Linked DNA regions of Arabidopsis thaliana. The protein of the gene in region 3 purifies or fractionates together with the protein of the main gene of each other region. This does not show direct contact. Each region holds a gene or a part of one and is shown on either strand. Other genes may lie near its edges. The genes, in order: BTF3, IMPA-8, AT3G48390 and IMPA-5.

What was found.
Region 1: the proteins of AT3G48390 (region 3) and BTF3 fractionate together in Arabidopsis thaliana (co-fractionation; one large-scale study listed by BioGRID). This does not show direct contact.
Region 2: the proteins of AT3G48390 (region 3) and IMPA-8 fractionate together in Arabidopsis thaliana (co-fractionation; one large-scale study listed by BioGRID). This does not show direct contact.
Region 4: the proteins of AT3G48390 (region 3) and IMPA-5 fractionate together in Arabidopsis thaliana (co-fractionation; one large-scale study listed by BioGRID). This does not show direct contact.

What each region holds. Positions count from the first base shown.
Region 1 is NC_003070.9:6,151,845-6,155,989, forward strand, and holds BTF3 (basic transcription factor 3), read right to left. Parts: upstream 2,139-4,145; 5' UTR 2,022-2,138; intron 1,582-2,021; coding exon 1,514-1,581; intron 1,425-1,513; coding exon 1,276-1,424; intron 1,187-1,275; coding exon 1,130-1,186; intron 1,037-1,129; coding exon 998-1,036; intron 913-997; coding exon 728-912; 3' UTR 540-727; downstream 1-539. Other genes in the region: EGY3 (ethylene-dependent gravitropism-deficient and yellow-green-like 3), read right to left, coding at 1-341; GER2 (NAD(P)-binding Rossmann-fold superfamily protein), read right to left, coding at 2,634-3,598, 3,731-3,752.
Region 2 is NC_003076.8:21,118,426-21,122,778, reverse strand, and holds IMPA-8 (importin alpha), read left to right. Parts: upstream 1-1,659; coding exon 1,660-1,677; intron 1,678-1,761; coding exon 1,762-1,861; intron 1,862-1,954; coding exon 1,955-2,037; intron 2,038-2,111; coding exon 2,112-2,234; intron 2,235-2,312; coding exon 2,313-2,489; intron 2,490-2,564; coding exon 2,565-2,728; intron 2,729-2,811; coding exon 2,812-2,890; intron 2,891-2,988; coding exon 2,989-3,117; intron 3,118-3,214; coding exon 3,215-3,342; intron 3,343-3,430; coding exon 3,431-3,755; 3' UTR 3,756-3,833; downstream 3,834-4,353. Other genes in the region: AT5G52010 (C2H2-like zinc finger protein), read left to right, coding at 1-1,153.
Region 3 is NC_003074.8:17,918,801-17,924,032, reverse strand, and holds AT3G48390 (MA3 domain-containing protein), read right to left. Parts: upstream 3,239-5,232; 5' UTR 3,003-3,238; intron 2,760-3,002; coding exon 2,675-2,759; intron 2,580-2,674; coding exon 763-2,579; 3' UTR 537-762; downstream 1-536. Other genes in the region: AT3G48400 (Cysteine/Histidine-rich C1 domain family protein), read right to left, coding at 1-355; AT3G48380 (Peptidase C78, ubiquitin fold modifier-specific peptidase 1/ 2), read right to left, coding at 3,934-4,111, 4,185-4,260, 4,325-4,427, 4,513-4,624, 4,705-4,793, 5,065-5,141, 5,225-5,232. UniProt on the Arabidopsis thaliana protein: Involved in target of rapamycin (TOR)-regulated translation control, especially under energy-deficient conditions.
Region 4 is NC_003076.8:19,991,399-19,996,392, forward strand, and holds IMPA-5 (importin alpha), read right to left. Parts: upstream 3,275-4,994; 5' UTR 3,119-3,274; coding exon 2,912-3,118; intron 2,786-2,911; coding exon 2,692-2,785; intron 2,591-2,691; coding exon 2,499-2,590; intron 2,427-2,498; coding exon 2,295-2,426; intron 2,214-2,294; coding exon 2,028-2,213; intron 1,959-2,027; coding exon 1,795-1,958; intron 1,709-1,794; coding exon 1,630-1,708; intron 1,410-1,629; coding exon 1,281-1,409; intron 1,177-1,280; coding exon 1,049-1,176; intron 967-1,048; coding exon 618-966; 3' UTR 548-617; downstream 1-547. Other genes in the region: AT5G49320 (transmembrane protein, putative (DUF1218)), read right to left, coding at 3,685-4,066, 4,240-4,466, 4,652-4,816. UniProt on the Arabidopsis thaliana protein: Binds to conventional NLS motifs and mediates nuclear protein import across the nuclear envelope.

The DNA.
Region 1 (4,145 bases), on a different chromosome or scaffold from region 3:
TTCTTGAACTCCTCGTCTGTTTTCCAATCCATCTCTTGCTGCTTCGACTTCTTTTCCTCCTCTTCTTCACTGCTCTCTGGAGAAGGCGGCGCATTATTGTTATCGTGGTCTTCTTTTTGCTCCTCCGCTAACGCCACCGGAGAAGGAGCTTCGTTCACAGGTTCACGAACGCGATCATCTTCCGCTGAACATCTCAAAGAATGTCTGCTTCTCGTTGTCTGATTCACAGAAGCTTTCCCAAAGTTCGAAAATTCTGCTCTGTCAAAGCGACGAAGATGCAAACTGTGACAGGATTTAAGAGTTAAGGAAGATGATGGAGTAGAAACAAAGAGAGAAGCCATGGTTTACGAAAACTCAGAAAGATTGAGATTTGACGACGAATAGACATGTCTCTGAGAGAGAATTTGTAGAGAAAGTGATGAAATGTCTGGAAAGTTTGAGAAGAAACTCATACAGTACAGGTGGAATGGTTTTTATGCAACAAGACAATGTGTCACATCAAAATCTTCTAATCCACATAGTGAAGAGGAAGAAGAAGACGAGGACCTGATTTGCTGTCAAAGAATCAATAAGACATCAAATAATTGGATAAAAACCTTAAGTCATTAGATGGAAAACAAGATTCTGGTCGGAAACTACAAAAAGGATCGAGCGAACAAACATATTATAAAGATATGTAAAAATCAAAGTGCGGTTTTTTTTTGGATGTGGTCTCGCTCTTTTCTCTCTAAGAAGAAGCAGCAGCAGCTGGTGCTTTCTCTTCAGCAGCAGTTTCGAATGTCTCTCCAACAAGCTCTGGGACATCGTCATCATCCTCTTCTTGTATGGTTGCTGAGGCGGCATTACCTTCACCAGAAGCCTGTTTCTGGAACTGTTCTGCTAGCTTCTTCAGGTTGTCCATGTTGTCTGGTCCTGAAAGAGATCAAAGTAACATAAAGTTAGAGACCTTAGGATCGATGAAGAACATTTAAGAGCTGTACAGTTACATGGTACACACCAAGTTGGCTGATGATCTGAGGAAGGATATCTTGCAATTCTGCAGGAAGCAACACGTTTACATTAATCAGAGAAGATGAAATGAAGAAGAAACAAGAAAGTAGAGATTAAGAGATATTATGAGATGCAATACTTTTGGTCTGAGGAGAACCGCTAACAACCCATGTGTTTGCAGCAATTGAAGCTTGAACTGTAGTAACATTCAAAGGAGGAACAATGATCAGTAACATGAAAAAAAGGTTCTGATGTATAGATAAAAAATGGTTAAAAATGACTTACCCTTAGGGTTGATGAACTGAATAACAACATCATCCTTAAAGATGTTAACTTCTTCAATAGCGGGAATGGAGTTAACTCCAATTCTCTTAAGAGTGCTTTGAAGCCTCTTGTCATCAGTTGTATTGGTCTTGTGCACAGCCTTCTTCTTTCTGCAAGTAAAAATCGAATGGTTTCATAACACAAATCATAGTAAATGCTAAGTATTGAACAATGAAATTGGTTGAATAAAACTCTATACCTTCTGACAGTACCCTTTCCGCCAGTGCGGACGGTATTAGCCATCTTCATCAACTTCTCCCTATTCATCTGTGTATAAACCATAATAAGAAGCAAAATCCATCAATCCCCAAATCACTTCCAAAAGAATCAATGAACACATTAACTGCTAATAATACATTCACAAAAACTTCTTATTATACAAGAAACTAGTGAGAAGAAAGTAAGCGCGAACAGATTTAAACTCAGATGCGTATGAAGACACGGTGATGTGACTAGTAGTTTTAACCTAAATTTAATCATTTTCAATCGATTAGGTATACCAAATCCCCCAATCAAACACACAGAGAAGTTGAAAACCCAGTAAATTCCCAAACACCGACAAAAACTAATCCTATCTACAGAAAGAAGCGAAATGAATCAAGAAAGAAAGATATCTGACATTTTGCAAAATCGGGGATTAGAGAAACCCTAGAACCGGAGAGATAAAACACTAATAGAAAGGAAAATTACAGTGATAATGAATTTACCTTGAGATTAGGGTTCTTCCTTGTTCGAAGAGTGTGAGGAGATAAGAAAATGAAACAAAAAGAAAAGAAACAGAGAGAGGAGAGACGCGGGCGGCGCAGGGTTTTGCCCTTTAACTATATGCTATTCGGAGCCAACCTCGTCTCTTAATCTAACGGTGGATATCAGATATTCCATAAAGAAATCTCCATCACTACCGTTGGATGCTCGATGATAATATTGGCCCATAAGGCCCAAAACTAAACTGGGCCAATAATTATTTACTGGGCTCTTTTGTGCCGTAATCAATCACCAGTATTAGCGCGTAGCAAACCATAATCTTTTGGTTACCAGAATTTCAAAATCCACAAATTTATCTAAATGAGTTTATCAATGAACAGACTTGTTTAGTTGACTAAAATTTAGAGAAGAAAGCTATTCGATTATTGATAATCTCAACAACAATGGTACATTTATTACAAAGTAAGTTTGCTTAACTTGAACTGTATGAAATCCATGAATACAAAAATTACATAAAAGAGATAGAGAGATCTGTATAGAACCAAAAATCAAACGCATAAACATTCACGTGTAAAGAGAATGAATATTGCTTTGTGTTTTGGACCTTGTTTTTTTTACTGCTTCTTCTGCACAACATTTTCCAAATACCATTCATAAGTTTGGGAGAGGCCATCTTTAAGCGAAATCTTCGGTGTCCATCCCAAAGACGCAAGCTTCGAGCTATCCATCAGTTTCCTTGGTGTCCCGTCTGGTTTTGTGGTATCCCAAACAAGCTTTCCTTTAAACCCAACAACTTCTTTCACCAACTCAGCCAATTCTTTGATCGTCACTTCAACACCACTTCCTACATTCACATGCTCAAATCCGCTGTACTGATCCATCAAGAAAACACAAGCATCAGCCAAATCATCGACATGTAAAAACTCCCTCAACGGGCTTCCACTTCCCCAAACCACAACTTCGTCAGCATTATTGGCTTTGGCTTCATGAAACCTCCTCATGAGAGCAGGCAGCACATGGGAATTCTCCGGGTGGAAATTATCATTCTGACCATACAGATTCGTGGGCATACCGGAGATAGCATCCCACTGATGCTGAAGCCGGTAAGCTTGACACATCTTAATACCCGCGATCTTGGCGATCGCATACCATTCGTTTGTCGGTTCGAGCGGACCGGTAAGAAGCGCAGATTCGGGAATCGGCTGAGGAGCAAATTTGGGGTAAATGCAAGATGAACCAAGGAAGAGGAGTTTCTTCACACCGTGTGTATAAGCAGAGTGGATCACATTGGTCTGGATTTGGAGATTGACCCCAATGAAATCAGCTGGGTATGTGTTGTTAGCATGAATCCCACCGACTTTAGCAGCAGCTAGGATGACATAAACTGGTTTCTCTGTAGCAAAGAAAGATTCAACATCTGATTGGCTAGTGAGATCAAGCTCTGAATGGGTTCGAAGGACCAAATTGGTGAAACCCTGATCCTGGAGCTTGCGGACAATGGCAGATCCAACCAATCCCCTATGTCCAGCGACAAAGATCTTGGCGGATTTCTCTAACATAAACGAACCTGATTTCATCTCTGCACAGAATTACGAGGGATCAAAGACCTAGGGTTCCAAAATTTCCACGAAAATCTAAATTCAATTCCACAAAACTCCGTATATAGACATGAAACATTATATTCAGACATAAAATAGAGAGATGGACGTACCGGATCCTGTGTTGTCCGCCATTGTTTAGTCAATTAGTTCTACAAGACGATGAGCGATTGAGAATGGGGATTTTGACTTATAGATATCAGTTTTCGAAGTCAACGACAGAAGCTTAGATTTGTAGGTAAAGGTTAAATTCCTTGGAGAATGTAATGTGGAGGAGATCTGAATATCCGCCGGCGATCTGAATCGGTGTCGGATATTTTGTTATTCAGTTTATGGATCCTGGCCCATGGGCCTAAATAAAATAGTCACCTCACTCTCCGCCCATTTCGCTTACTTTTCCATCGTTACGTTATTGGCCTATTGCAATTAAACCGGACCAAATTCCGGTTCGCAGCTGTGAGTTACCAAATTAGCTCCATCAGCCAGGTGTCCGTACTCCGTACCATCCATAAGAAGAGTACGGATTCG
Region 2 (4,353 bases), on a different chromosome or scaffold from region 3:
AAAACCATTCCTTTCACACAAATCTCACTTCTTTACCTTCTCCAATTCCAAATTCCAAAACCCTAAATTCACAAGCTTCCCACTTCGTCACCAATGGCGGATCGAATCATGTCTGAAATCAGCATCTTCATCAGAAATCGATATGGTAAGAAACAAAGAAGGTATCTTTGCACCAAAGGAGAAGAAAGTTGTAGTCTTATGGGACTTAGACAACAAACCACCACGAGGTCCACCATACGAAGCCGCAACAGCTCTCCGTAAAGTCGCTGAGAAACTCGGCCGAGTCGTCGAAATCTCCGCTTACGCAAATCGTCATGCTTTTATCCATTTACCTCATTGGGTCGTCGAAGAGAGACGAGAAAGGAGGAACCTTGATTTCATGGAGAGGAAAGGAGAAGTGACTCCAATTGATCCGTACATTTGTGGTGTTTGTGGTCGCAAGTGTAAAACCAATCTTGATTTGAAGAAACATTTCAAGCAGCTTCATGAGAGGGAGAGACAGAAGAAAGTTAATAGGATGAGATCTTTGAAAGGTAAGAAACGTCAGAAGTTTAAGGAGCGTTATGTTTCAGGGAATGAGAAGTATAATGAGGCTGCGAGGAGTTTGTTGACTCCTAAAGTTGGATATGGTTTAGAGGCTGAGCTACGTCGAGCAGGGGTTTATGTTAAGACGGTTGAGGATAAGCCTCAGGCTGCGGATTGGGCGGTTAAGAGACAGATACAACATTCAATGACTAGAGGGATTGATTGGTTGGTTTTGGTGTCGGATGATAAGGATTTTTCTGATATGTTGAGGAAAGCTAGAGAGGCTGATCTTGGGACTTTGGTTGTTAGTGATATGGATAGAGCATTGGGAAGGCATGCTGATTTGTGGGTGCCTTGGAGTGGTGTTGAGAAGGGAGAGATTGGTGAGAAGGATTTGATTCCGGGGAAGAGACCAAGGTTTGAGGAGGATGAGGTGGGATTTGGTGGTAATGATGAGTTGTTTTCGTTGTCGTATGATGAGGATGAGAAGGCGGAGATGACGGTGGAGAGTGATGGGTTTGGGAGGTTTAATGTATCGGCGTTTTCGGAAGATGAATGGGTGGAGGATGAAGGAGACTTTGTGTTGAGTGATAGTAGTGATGATGATAGTGATGATGAGCTTTTCTGATTCATGGTGAATTGAGTTGCATTTCTAAGTGTTGTTAATTGGTTTACGAATAGAGTTCATAGGAGCTTTGGTCGATGTAATTGAAATCAAATGTAAAACCATTCTTACATAAGCCAAGATTTTGTGCATTCATGTGGTCAAAGGCTTTGAGAATTCAAGTTCTTACATAAACCAAGATTTTGTGGTATTGTGGTTTGTCGAATTGAAATTTTGGGTTGGAGTAAACCGGATTCAAATCAAATTTTTATTTTGATCGGTTTAGAGTAGACGGTTAAGTAGCGACTGGATTTTTTGATCAGACGGTTAAAATAAAATCAAGAAAGAAACGATAACTGAAAAACCCGTTTTTTTACGCTTCGTTAAAATTCTGCTTCACCATTTTTGTTTGCATTCTTGCTTGATTGCAAAATCTTTGCCTCTCTCACATTTCAAGTTGAGATTTCTAGGGTTTAGTCTTTAAGTTTTCTAAATTGCTTTGGAGAGGTCGAAAAGAAGAGAGAAAAGCCATGGCTTGGAAAACAGAGGTCCGTTTAAAACTATCTCACAAGTAATCACTCTCTGGTTGATTTTGTGTTGGACTAGTGAGGTTTTTAGGGTTTGGATTGTAGGTGAACGAAGTTTCAGATGATATAATCGATGGTCTTTGGTCAGATGATCCTCCATTACAACTTGAATCCGTTACCAAGATCAGACGTATTACATCACAGAGTAAAAACTTCCTCTGTTTTTTACTTTCTTTACTTTTTCTTGATCTCGGTTTGAAAGATTCGTCTTTTATCATTTACTCTAATATCTTTCCAGGAGATATATCTTGTGTGATACGATCTGGAGTTGTACCGCGTCTCGTTCAGTTGCTTAAAAATCAAGTTTTCCCCAAGCTTCAAGTTAGTTGATATTTTATGATGATGATCAGTGTAACCTTTGATTACGATATATTCAGTGATCTTTGTTTTTATAGTATGAGGTAGCTTGGGCTCTAACAAACATTGCTGTTGACAATCCGGGCGTGGTAGTTAATAACAACGCTGTTCCAGTATTAATTCAGCTTATTGCTTCTCCTAAAGATTATGTTCGTGAGCAGGTAAGTATTTTACTACGTGTAGATATGAGAATACTTGTCACAGACTCACAGATATGAGTTTTGACATTATTCTTGCAGGCTATATGGACACTGAGTAATGTTGCTGGTCATTCGATACATTACCGTGACTTTGTTCTTAACTCTGGGGTATTGATGCCACTGTTGCGTCTTCTGTATAAGGATACTACACTCAGAATTGCTACTTGGGCTTTGCGTAACTTGTGTCGTGGCAAGCCTCACCCGGCTTTCGATCAGGTCTTCTTACTTCTCTCTCTGTCTCTGTTTCCTCTGTTTTGTATACTTTTTAACATATGAAGCATGATTCAACAGGTGAAACCTGCTCTTCCTGCGCTTGAAATACTTCTTCATTCACATGATGAAGATGTCTTGAAAAATGCTTGCATGGCACTATGTCATCTGTCTGAGGGTTCAGAAGATGGAATCCAAAGTGTGATTGAGGCTGGTTTTGTCCCAAAACTAGTTCAAATTCTCCAGTTAGTACTTCTCAGAATATGTATTTAACCCTTTTGTGACATGTTTGGATAAGGAAAGGCTGACAGTTTTTTTTCTTTTGCAGACTCCCTTCTCCAGTGGTGCTTGTTCCTGCACTTCTTACCATTGGGGCTATGACTGCTGGAAATCATCAGCAGACACAGGTATGTATTTCATATTCAACTTACGTTGTCCACCTTTTGGATTTTGTAACCAAACAACAAAATGCTTTGTTATACACCTCTTTGAACTTATTCTTCAGTGTGTGATCAATAGTGGTGCTTTACCCATTATTTCCAACATGCTTACTCGAAACCACGAGAACAAAATAAAGAAGTGTGCTTGCTGGGTGATTTCAAACATCACTGCAGGGACTAAAGAACAAATTCAGGTGAGAAACTTTTGTTGCTATTATCCCCAATGAAAATTTACCATTTTTGTCTTTTGCTATCACTAATTTGTTTTTCTTTTTCCCCTGGTGATTACAGTCAGTTATTGATGCAAATTTGATTCCAATCTTGGTCAATCTTGCTCAAGATACTGACTTCTACATGAAGAAAGAAGCTGTATGGGCAATTTCAAATATGGCCTTAAATGGTTCTCATGATCAAATCAAGTAACGTCCCTGTCTTGTTTCTTTTTTCAACTTTAATGTACTTATTATAGATCATCAAGTCTCACAATTCTCCATTGGTGTGATTCAGATACATGGCGGAGCAGAGTTGCATAAAACAATTATGTGATATCCTAGTATATTCAGATGAAAGAACCACCATCTTAAAGTGTCTGGATGGATTGGAAAACATGTTGAAGGCCGGAGAGGCTGAAAAGAACAGTGAAGACGTGAACCCTTATTGTCTACTGATTGAAGATGCGGAAGGGCTAGAAAAGATTTCGAAGCTGCAAATGAACAAAAACGATGATATCTACGAGAAGGCTTATAAGATTCTGGTGACGAATTGGTTTGAAGAGGATGATGAGAACAACAACAACAACGTCCGATGTGATGATGTGGACTTTCAGGTGTGAGAGAACCAAAGTTCCAGTTCCTTATATGGAAGATCCCAACACAATTATTTGTTATAGTGAAAAAAAAACATCTTACATGGGACCAAAGGCTTTGCACCTTTGTTGTCTCAGGGCTTTACTTGGTCTTTAATTGAATGTACAAAGTTGATGTAAAAGCTTTGGCTCCATCGTTCATGGAGTCTAGTACATTGTTTTGGGTTTTAAAAGTTTTCTGTGTTAAAGCTCGTCGTCTAATTGATGTTGTGTTTGGTTTTAGTTGAAAGGTTTAGACGTTTAGTAAAAAAGTTACTCAAATTCTTGAAATCTCCTTGGCCTTGCTGATTATAAAATCAAATATTCATTTATAAAATTATGCGAAAGGGTCTAATTATTTTTGAAACCGAATCGAATGAAGACAACTCCATTTTGATTGATTTTTTTTTTGTTGTATTAAAGAATAAAAAACTCGACTGGTTCAACAAGACTGGATTGTCTTTAAACTACTGGTTCAATGTATTTTGGGTACATAATGAAAAAAATACACAATCCGCCTTGGCCACGTATCCATCTTTGGCTTAGTTGATGATGATAATACTTTTGTTTTTTGGTAAGGCTGATG
Region 3 (5,232 bases):
CAATAGCAGCAAGTGGAGGTAGTTGTTTTCTCGCACAAGCTATATCGATATTAAAGGCGCATATCCAACAATGATACGTAGGACCAAACAAGAAAGCTCCACAAAAAGCACACGTACCACTTCCCCTGTAGTCGATTAAGCAGAGCGGATGCTCGAGATGGGAAGGATGATTGATCTCCGGTAATGATTCGCCACATTCTTTGTGATACCAAACATGGTTACAATCAGAGTCATTGCAACGGTAGCCACTATAGATAGGTGAGGTTTGCTTGCAACCGCGGCAACGACCATTTATAAACCTTGATGAATGGTATAATGGATGCTTGTGAATCGGTAAATCTACTGATCTCTCCATTGTGCTTTTGTGATTCAGATCTCTTTCTTTCTTTTTAGTCAACCCTTGTTTTTTTTTGTCATGTCTTGTGTGGTGTTTTTGAGATGTTTAATATATATGCGCGTTGAATAAACAAATGATAAGCTACATCACAACACCATCGAATATGAGGCTATAATGTTCAATTATTTGAATAATATATGGATTAAATTTCTTTTGATTGAAATATTTGCAAACATTATTAGTAACCAATTGTATGAATAATTGGTGGGGAAGTTTCAGAGAACATATGCATGTGACGTTTATAAAAACCTATGTAAAAAGTACATAGAATGATCTTTCGTCGGAAACAAGTACAAAGAACAGTTTGAAGAACACCCAAAACCAACCAACTCCATATTTCTATATATGTAGAGACTCAGAATCAGTCAAGAATCTGTAGAACACCCAAAATCGCGGTGTAGCCAACCGTTCTCTTCAGCGTGCGCAACATACGAGTTAAATTTCTCTTCTGCATTTGGAATATCCAAAGATAAGTCATCAAGACTATCTTTGACTCGACCAAACCCTTTTGTCATTTGGTTAGTAGTAATGATCCCTTCAGCAAAACACTCCTGCAAGAGATTAAGCATCCGATCGTTCTTCTTCTCCATTGCCATTACCAAAGCCTTCTTAACCACCTCGTGGTTAAAAAACGGCATTCCTAGATCGCGTATGCATCGACAAGCCTCTGATATTACTCCTCCTACTTCGTATTCTTCTAGAAGTTTCCAGATCTTGTCTTTAGCGTCTTCCACTGCCCAGCCCGTTCCCCCACCCCAGCTTCTCAGGAGTCTTTCTCCTGCGTGTCGAGCGGATATCAGAGACCGAGCTGAGCGGATGGTTTCGCTTCCGGTTGATTTTGGCGGTAAGCTGTTTGAGATCTCTTCGAGATTAAGCGGAGCCAAGACATCATCGATCACAGCTCTAGCTAGAAACAGAGCAAGCTCGTCTGATGCTGCTAAGATGTCTAATGCTGTATCTTCTGCGGATTCGAGGAGCATGATGAAACCATTTATGAAGTCTTCTGTTGAGAACATCTCCATGTGAAGAGAAGCGAGAAAAACAGAAGCCATTTCTTTCTCTTTGTTCTTCCTATCCATAGCAAGAGTGATGAGTTTCTTCAAGAATACCGGGTTATATTCGGGTAATCCTAAATCTTCAAGACTGCGGATTAGCTCGGGGATATCATCAGAAAGGAAATACTCTTGAATTATGGTCTCTGCATCCTTCTTGAACCGCCTTAGATTTTCGCTGCCCCCATTTTGATCAGAGCGTTCTTTAAACGAATCTTCGTCGAGCCAACCTCCTATTATAGCCTTGGGAACTATTGACTCAAACAGAGTTTTAGCAGATGGGATGTCAAGAGAAAGATCATCAAGACTATCTGCTACTCGGGAGAACCCTTTCGCCATTTGACTCGAACTAATGAGACCTTCTTCTGTAGCTTCTTTCAACAATTTTAGTATCAGCGGCTCGGATGTTCGGGACTCCATCACTAGAACCAAACCACTCTTCACGATCTCGTGATGGAAAAACGAGACACCTAACTCCCTGATGCATCTACAAGCTTCACGAGTGTCACCATTCTCTACATATTCATTCAAAAATTCAGATATCTTTCTCTTTGTTTCTTCTACCGTAATGTGAGTACTCCCACCCCATTTTGTCTCCACTAGCTCTGCGTGGTGAGGAGCAGAGAGATAGCTATTTTCTGAAACTAAGATAACCTGAAACCCTTGAGAGGAATGCGGTAGAGTCTTCTTTGCTCTAGCCAGAAAAACGGGGGGAAGAATTTCATCGACGATGGCCCGGGCAATAAACAAAGCAAGTACATTAACAGCATCAGGTATGTCCAAAGCAAGATCACCAACGGACTCAAGCAGTCTAATAAACCCAACCCTGATTTGATCAGGTGAAACAACAAGAGCGTACAACCGCGAGAGTAACACCGAAGCCTTCTCCTTCTCCTTATTGCCCCTGTCCATGGCCATGGAAACAAGCCTCTTGACAAAATAAGGATGGTATTCGCTCAAACCAAGATCCATAAGGTCAGAAGCAGCCACTTCAACATCCCCAGAGCTAAAGTATTCATCGATGATGGAAACTACTTCTCTTTTGTAATCTTCCAAAGGGTTAAACACAGGGGAACCAACAAGTGCATAAGGTTCCTCTCCAGTATCACAAGTATGATCTTTATCATCATCTGTTGAAACGTACAAATATAAGCTTCATGTTTGAAAAGCAAGACAAGAAGAAGGGAAGTATAAATTTACTAAGAAAATTGAATAAAGTATTAACCTTTCTTGACAGCAAACAGAGGAGGAGACTCTAGAGCCAGTTTCGTCTGTTGTGCATTCATCACAAACCACTCCCTCGTTGCCATCTAAACACGTTCAAGATTTATGAATGATTTAGAAAACAAATCCGAAAACAACAAGTTAAGAGCAAAACAGAACACAACAATCTACATTCTAGAACAAATAACATTATAGCTTGGCTTCATAACATTAATTAAACAGAAAAATAACACGAAACAACACTACCTCTAAGTTACAAACACACTGGTTTGTATAATATCAAAGAAGCAACATATAAAACCTAAATCCAGTAATAGAATTATACATACCAGTGATTAATTCGAAACGAATCCAAACTAATCGAACGAACTCTTCTGTACTTGGCTTCGGATCTCAAGCCAAGACAGGAAGAAGAAGAAGAAGCTATCAGAACTCCGCAGGTAAGTAATAAAAATTTCCACCAGAGTCTTAGAAGATTCAAATGTCGCCGATTTCTAAGTTCGACGAGACTATAAATACTAGTCGATGAGAGAGAATCGGCGATTTACAAAATTGGAAAAAGGAAAAACAAATAAAAAGTAAAGGGAAGGTACACGTCATCATATAAGGCTTTTTAAATTGTGGAGAAGCCATTAAATGTAATTTAATTCTAAATCAAACACTATACTTTTTATTAGTTCAGATAGGTCCTAATTAGTTTTACTGGTTGACGTGTTTTGAAATATCTTCTTTTTCCAAAGAAGTTTTCTTACAGACATTCAATCCAAATAAATCGAATTTTATATATATACATATATTTTTCAATACCCATAGCCATTATTTCTCTTAAAAGAATCCAATTAGAATTTAGGCATTCTATACAAATATTAGGCTAAATGTGGGGGTTTTGTGTAGTTTTGTAAGTTTTGGTAATTATCTATTTCTGTTGATTCTATTCCACGTGCTCTACACTCCCGCACGTAATCGTTCCTATCGCTGCTTTTTTCCATTCTTATCCAAAAGTTTTTACAAATTTACCAAAACTACCCCTCAATGCCATGCAATGAGAAAAAAGGTTTCCATTGGACTTTGCCAAACGATTCATCTAACAAGAAGTAACACCGAATCTAAAAGCCGGACATTAATTTCAATATGGTTTATTTATTCGACTGAAATTCAAATTTCTTGAAAACTCCATTTTTTGCACTATCAGGAGACCAGAGCAGGCTAAAACTGTGATAAGAAAAAAAGTAATTGTTGTTACATGTAGGAAAATGATAATTAAACCATGTTGGGACGTTGAGGAAGAAGAAGATTGTAAAACTTGTTGTGCAAGAAAAAGCTTTTTCCTTTGCTATCAACAGCTTTTTTCCACCCACACCAACCACCATTGACGATCTTCTTGTGATCTTCACTTCCTGTATAATGCGGATCCAGGATCAGGAACGCGCAATCCCCGCTTCCTTCATCGTAATCCACTCCCAATAGCGTGTATGCAAGAACCCCACCTCCTGCAAGTAAAACCAATTCACAATACAAAGTTTAAAAGATTAAACGGATCCTTCTTATAGGTTTCTTTAAACCGCATTAAAGACTGGTCCACTGATCCTTTATATATAGGGTCTACGCTTTCACTTATGCTATAATATCAGAGTGATTTGGCTTGACTTACCAATCATTATTGGAGTTCCTTGGTTCTCAAAGTGCATAGCTAACTCCCGGCATTTCTCTGGGAGCTCTGATCCGGATCTGAAGTTCATAATTTTGCAACTTACCTGCAAATAAAAGACATTACGAGCTTCTCAACATCAAGTTCAGAGCAGGAGACTTACACCAAGAAGTTAAGAGCAGAAGACTTACACCAAGAAGTTTATCCAACACAAAGCTTAACTCTATGGCACCAATCCATTCACGCGATCCTACAAACGAAGGATCCTTGTCACCTATTTCCACGAGTGTCTGCTGTATTTCCCTGAGAATCCAGAAAAATACTTAGCGAATCGAGGAAAGAGGAGCTCTGATTTATATTCATGAGAAACAGAAGTTTCATACCTATGTGAAGGTACAGATATGGATGTGTAGTGTTGAAGTCTGAACCACGAGATAATAGTTTGCAATGATCGGTAAGCACATCCCCATCCCTAGCACGGCAAGTGAAAATTAGTGTTAGATGTTGAGAAGGTATTTCTAGTTTTCTAAAATACAATAGAAATACTTGAAGCGCAACAAACTATCATGCCAATAATCATTTACGAACTCCAGTTTCCGGTATGAATGCAGTAAAAGATTCTAATAAATTAGCACAGAGCCTTTAATCCCTAGTTTCTGCTTTAGTTTTGTTTCACTCCACACGTCATCAGCAATCTACTTTTACAGTGTTTTAAAACCATGGAAGAATGAGAAATGATATACCGAGTCATCAAAGCCATCCTGAAGATAATGATAATACTCATAAGAACCTTGGATAATAGATGCCACACCCTCCGAAACTGCATAACATTGCAAATTCAATAAACGAATCGAGAGACCGAAGGATGAACAACGGAAACAAAGGCATACAAATAGTACTAACCTCCGCTG
Region 4 (4,994 bases), on a different chromosome or scaffold from region 3:
TTGATCGAAGCTTAAGAAAAAATAGCAGAGACGAGAATGAAGAAGAGTTAACAACGAGCGAAGAAATAATAAAGCATCTCTGCACCTTCTTACTTGAGCTTGTTATCGAATTCATCTAAATTCTCAAAGTGGCGACCAAATTCGATGATTCAATTTCTCCATGGAAACGAAACACAAAGTGGTTTCGGAATATATGGGCCTTTTACGTTATACCAAAGCCCATAGCATAAGAGCCCATCCATTTCGAAAGAAAAAAAAAAAAACAAATCCGTCCCGCGTCAAAAAAACTGAATCCATCTTTAAAGTTTGACCGTTAGTTCGGTAAACAAATAATTTAACCCTTTCTTAATTTTGACCGTTAGTTCGGTAAATTTGAGTAAAATTTTTTCCTAAAAGACAAAACAATGTGGATTCCAACAGGAAGTGGAACTTGGTTCTCTAACAGGAAGTGGAACTTGATTCCAATATGATGAGTAGCTGTTAGAGAACCAAGTTCCACTTCCTGTTGGAATCCACATTGTTTTGTCTTTTAGGACCATCATATTATGTGCATGCTTTTGGTTCAATATGACAGCTATTTCTTTACATCAAAATCTAATATCAGATTATGTGGGATCTTAACGAGAAAAATCAAACTGGAATTCCGGATGAGAACAACCATCACCACCTTCATCTTCCTCTTCAACTAACCTTCCATCTTCCTCTACAAGCCCGTATGTTTGCAGAATCTTCACAGCCTTCTCGTAGATCTCATTGTTGCCATGGTGCTGCAAGTTCTCAATCTTTTCTAGCCCTTCTGCATCTTCAATCATTTGAGAGTAACAGTTCACGTCTCTTAGGTTCTTGTCCACCTCTCCAGCAATCAAAATCATTTCCAGTCCACCTAGAGACACTAAGATGATTCTTAGATCTGGACAAACCAGGATGTCACATAAAGCTTTTATGCAATTCTGCTCCACCAAGTATCTGATACACACCAATGGATATTGTGAATATAGATGATCAATAAGCATGAAAAAAGTGATAAAGAAAGAAGACAGGGATGTACTTGATTTGATTAGGAGAACCACCCACGGAAGCATTTGAAATTGCCCATATAGCTTCTTTCTTTATGTCAAATTCAGCATGTTGTGCCAGATTGACCAACGATGGAATCAAATTTGCATCAATAACCGACTGTTATCATCATCAATGCAAGAAAGACAAATAGAAAATATTTAGTGATAGCAACGTAAATTGTTCAAGTTCTGCAACAGTAACAATCACAAACTCATGCTCACCTGAATTTGTTCTTCTAAACCGGCAGTGATGTTTGAAATCGTCCAGCAAGCTTCCCTCCTTATGCCTCTCATATGGTTTTGAGTAAGCAGGTCAGCAAGAACGGGTAAAACACCACAATTGATCACACACTGAAAAATAAGTTCAAAGAGTTATTTGGTTACAAAATCTAATCTCAACACAGTACTCAAGCAACATATAAATGAAGTGTTCTCCAGGATATAATCATCCAAGATACAGGATTACAAATTAAGCTTTTGATAGTGCTATTGCTTTGAAAAACAATAAATTCACACGGTGTACAAGAGACGTGTTCTTGAAGGCTCCATCAAAGGAATATGAATTACATACGTGAGTCTGCTGACTATTTCCAGAAACTATATTCCCAATGCAACGAAGTGCAGGAACAAGTACAACTGGAGAAGCGTGTCTGCAAAAGAAAAAAATGGCGAGCCTTCATTATCCAAACATGTATCAAACGGTTAAATTTTTTAATATTTGGAGAGAAGTACTAACTGGAGAAGTTCAACTAGTCTTGGGACAACACCCGCCTCGATCACACTTTGGATATTTTCATTTGAAGCATCAGACAGATTCGAAAGCGCCCAGCAAGCATCTATCAAGACTTGTTCATCATCCGAATAAACAAGTCTTTTAAGTACAGGGAGAACATGTTTCACCTATAAATCATGTTTCATAAGTTTAAGTATTGCACCTATAAAACTGAGGAAATAGAGAAGTAAGAATACCAGGTCAAAGGGTGGTGAAGGCTTGCCACGGAAGAAGTTTGATAAAGTCCAAGTCGCATTTCTAAGTATCGACAATGTAGCATGGTTATTCAGCTGATGCAACAGTGGAATAAATGCCCCAGAGTTAAGAACAAAGTCACGGCACTGTATTGAATCACCAGCAACATTACCCAGTCCCCATATAGCCTGCAAATTAAGTGTAACATCAAACTCTTCAAAATTTGAACTCACATATTTAACCATTCATACTCAGAAGAAGCACTATACCTGCTCACGGACATCATCATCAGGGGAAGCAAGAAGCTGAACAAAGAGTGGCACAACACCGTGATCAATCACTACCTTGGTATGCTCAGATGCGCCAGAAGCAATGTTTGTTAAAGCCCAAGCAGCCTCAAACTATAAAAAAGATCAAAGAATTCAGAACCAAAGATTACACTAATCATCAAAGATGGGAACTTTAAGTCTAACCTGAAGCTTAGGGTTATCATCCTTCTTAAGAAACTCTACAAAACGTGGCACAACTCCAGATTTTATCACATTATCAGTAGGTGGACTTCTATCTGAACAATATATAAAACCACAAGACTTTAAGAAACCATTCAAGTAAATATAAGTTCGTATCTTTTTCAACTCAAGATCAAAGAAAAGTAAAGAGTTTTACCGAATGATAGAACCACCCTGAACCGAGTTGTGTACTCAAGCTGCAATGAAGGATCATCCGAGAAAACCCCAGTGATCATATTCGCTATCTCCAACTACAACCATCACCAGAGAGGATCTAATTTAATTACCCAATTCGAAAGCATTCGAGTATAATGATAAAGGTCGTATCTTTCAAAACCTAGGTTTCACTAATCCAAAACCAAAGATCAAACTTTTACCAAACTCTCAAAGGGGTCGTTGGAAATCAACTTGTAATCAGGAGGCAAAACTTTTACACGACGTTTCTTCATCAAATTTTCGTTGCGTTTACTCTTGCGAATCTCGACTAAAAAGTCTTCTCTTCTTCTGCGTCCTTCTTCCGCATCTACAGAGACTTTGTAACGGATTCGACGGATCTCTGTCTTCGTGCTCGGTCGCAAGGACATAGCTTTCTCGATTCTTCGACCTCTCTAAATCAATTCACAAAATCGAAGCGAAACCCTAGAAATTTGAACTGAATGGGATTTGCAAAGTGAAGAAGAGAATGCAAGAGTGGTGAAGATGAAGAAGAAGCGACAACAGTTTCAATTTGAAGAAGCGGGAGGGTTTTCTAATTATCGTTTTTAATTGTTAACCGTATTTATACAGTAGATTGAATCATAAATCATTGATAATCTAAATTTAAGATAAAGTTTACAATCATATTATTAAGAGCTCCAAATTGAAATAATTAGTCAATAATTATTATAAGCTAAAATACTTGAATCTAAACCGAACTAAACCGTGAAGTTGGTTTAGTTACTCGTTACCGACGATAAAAAGAACCATATTTGCAGAGTTTACTCGTTAGATGTGTAGTGTTTTCTCCGGCGAAGGAAAACCTACTTTTCCGGTAAAGTTCATGTATTGATTGGAAAAAGTAGGTTTTGGTTTGTGATTTTGAATTGCTTATGTAAGAAGTAAAAACATTGTTTTTTCTCATATGATTATGTTAACTACTATACATTGTACACTATACTATATGTGCAAGTTGCTTTAAAGAAACAAGATATTCCAAAGACGTCGATTCATCTCTAACAGTAGCAAGACCTTCTCGAGCAACCGTAGCCATCCGATTTGTAGGCGATCTTGGAGGAGATGCATAAAGAACTGATGCCTCGATGATCTCTCTATGTGTGTTTTCAAGATCCTTAGAGATTCGATGTGCTTGAAGAGCGGTTAGGTAAAGTCCCGTGGCTAGAAAGACGGTTATAAGTGAGAACACTCCGGCCGCTGAAAACAAGCCTTGCCGGATTACTAGACAACTAGGTTTTGGTTTAGACCAGTTCTTTAGATGTCCTGATTCCACACTAAGTGCAACCAACAGTAGAACCTCTCCAACACCAAAGCAAACCCTTATAGGAACAAAAAAGAATAATATAATCACAAAATTATCATTAACTTAAGCTATGGTCAGTAACATAAATATGTCATTTCACGATTGCTTATAGTTAGGATTTTTTTATTTTTATTTTATTTTTTATAACTACATGACATTAATTCGTTGCGTTAGAATAAGTCTACGTACCATGTTGAGACGAAGAAGAAGGCAGCTTGAAAAGTGAGCCTCTTCGCAGGAACAGAGTCAGGATCCCACTCAACCAGAACCAGAGACGGCGATGTGGTGACTGCGATAAGTAAGTACATGTGGAAGCCCACCATCGCCACCGCTAGTCCCACAAACGCAATCGCACCACACAACAACGGCGTTTTCCCGCTACCATTATACACGCATGTTTTGCTTCCCCATGTCGCCTATTGCAAATGATTGACAACATATTAATGGCAATGATATAACTTATACTAAATACTATTATAATCGAACGATATGGTAATTAATATAAAACATGAATCAATATAGATTTCTGATTTATTTTGAAAATATAAATGATGAAAACATATGAGAGAAAGTTTATATACATCCCTGTATAGTAATGTACCTGAGATCTTGTGGCTTCGGCATAGAGGCAGAGAACAAAGCAGGAGAGGCCAAAGATTATTGTCAAAACAGCGATGAAAATACCGGTTTTGCTGCTGAGATCTGTGGTTTTAGGGTTTGGAACAAGATCTTGATGGGTCACAGCTCGCACTCTTGTTCTCGACATGTCTCTCGTCAATTTCTAATAGATAGGAATCGAAGTTACATGTTTTGAGAGTTATTATACTTTGATTTGTTTTACATATATGAGAGGCATTGAAAGTGGGAAGAAAAGAATAAACTGGAGTATATTTGATAAATAAATGAAAAAGGAGAGGAGGATAGAAGAATTGCTTCAGCCAAAG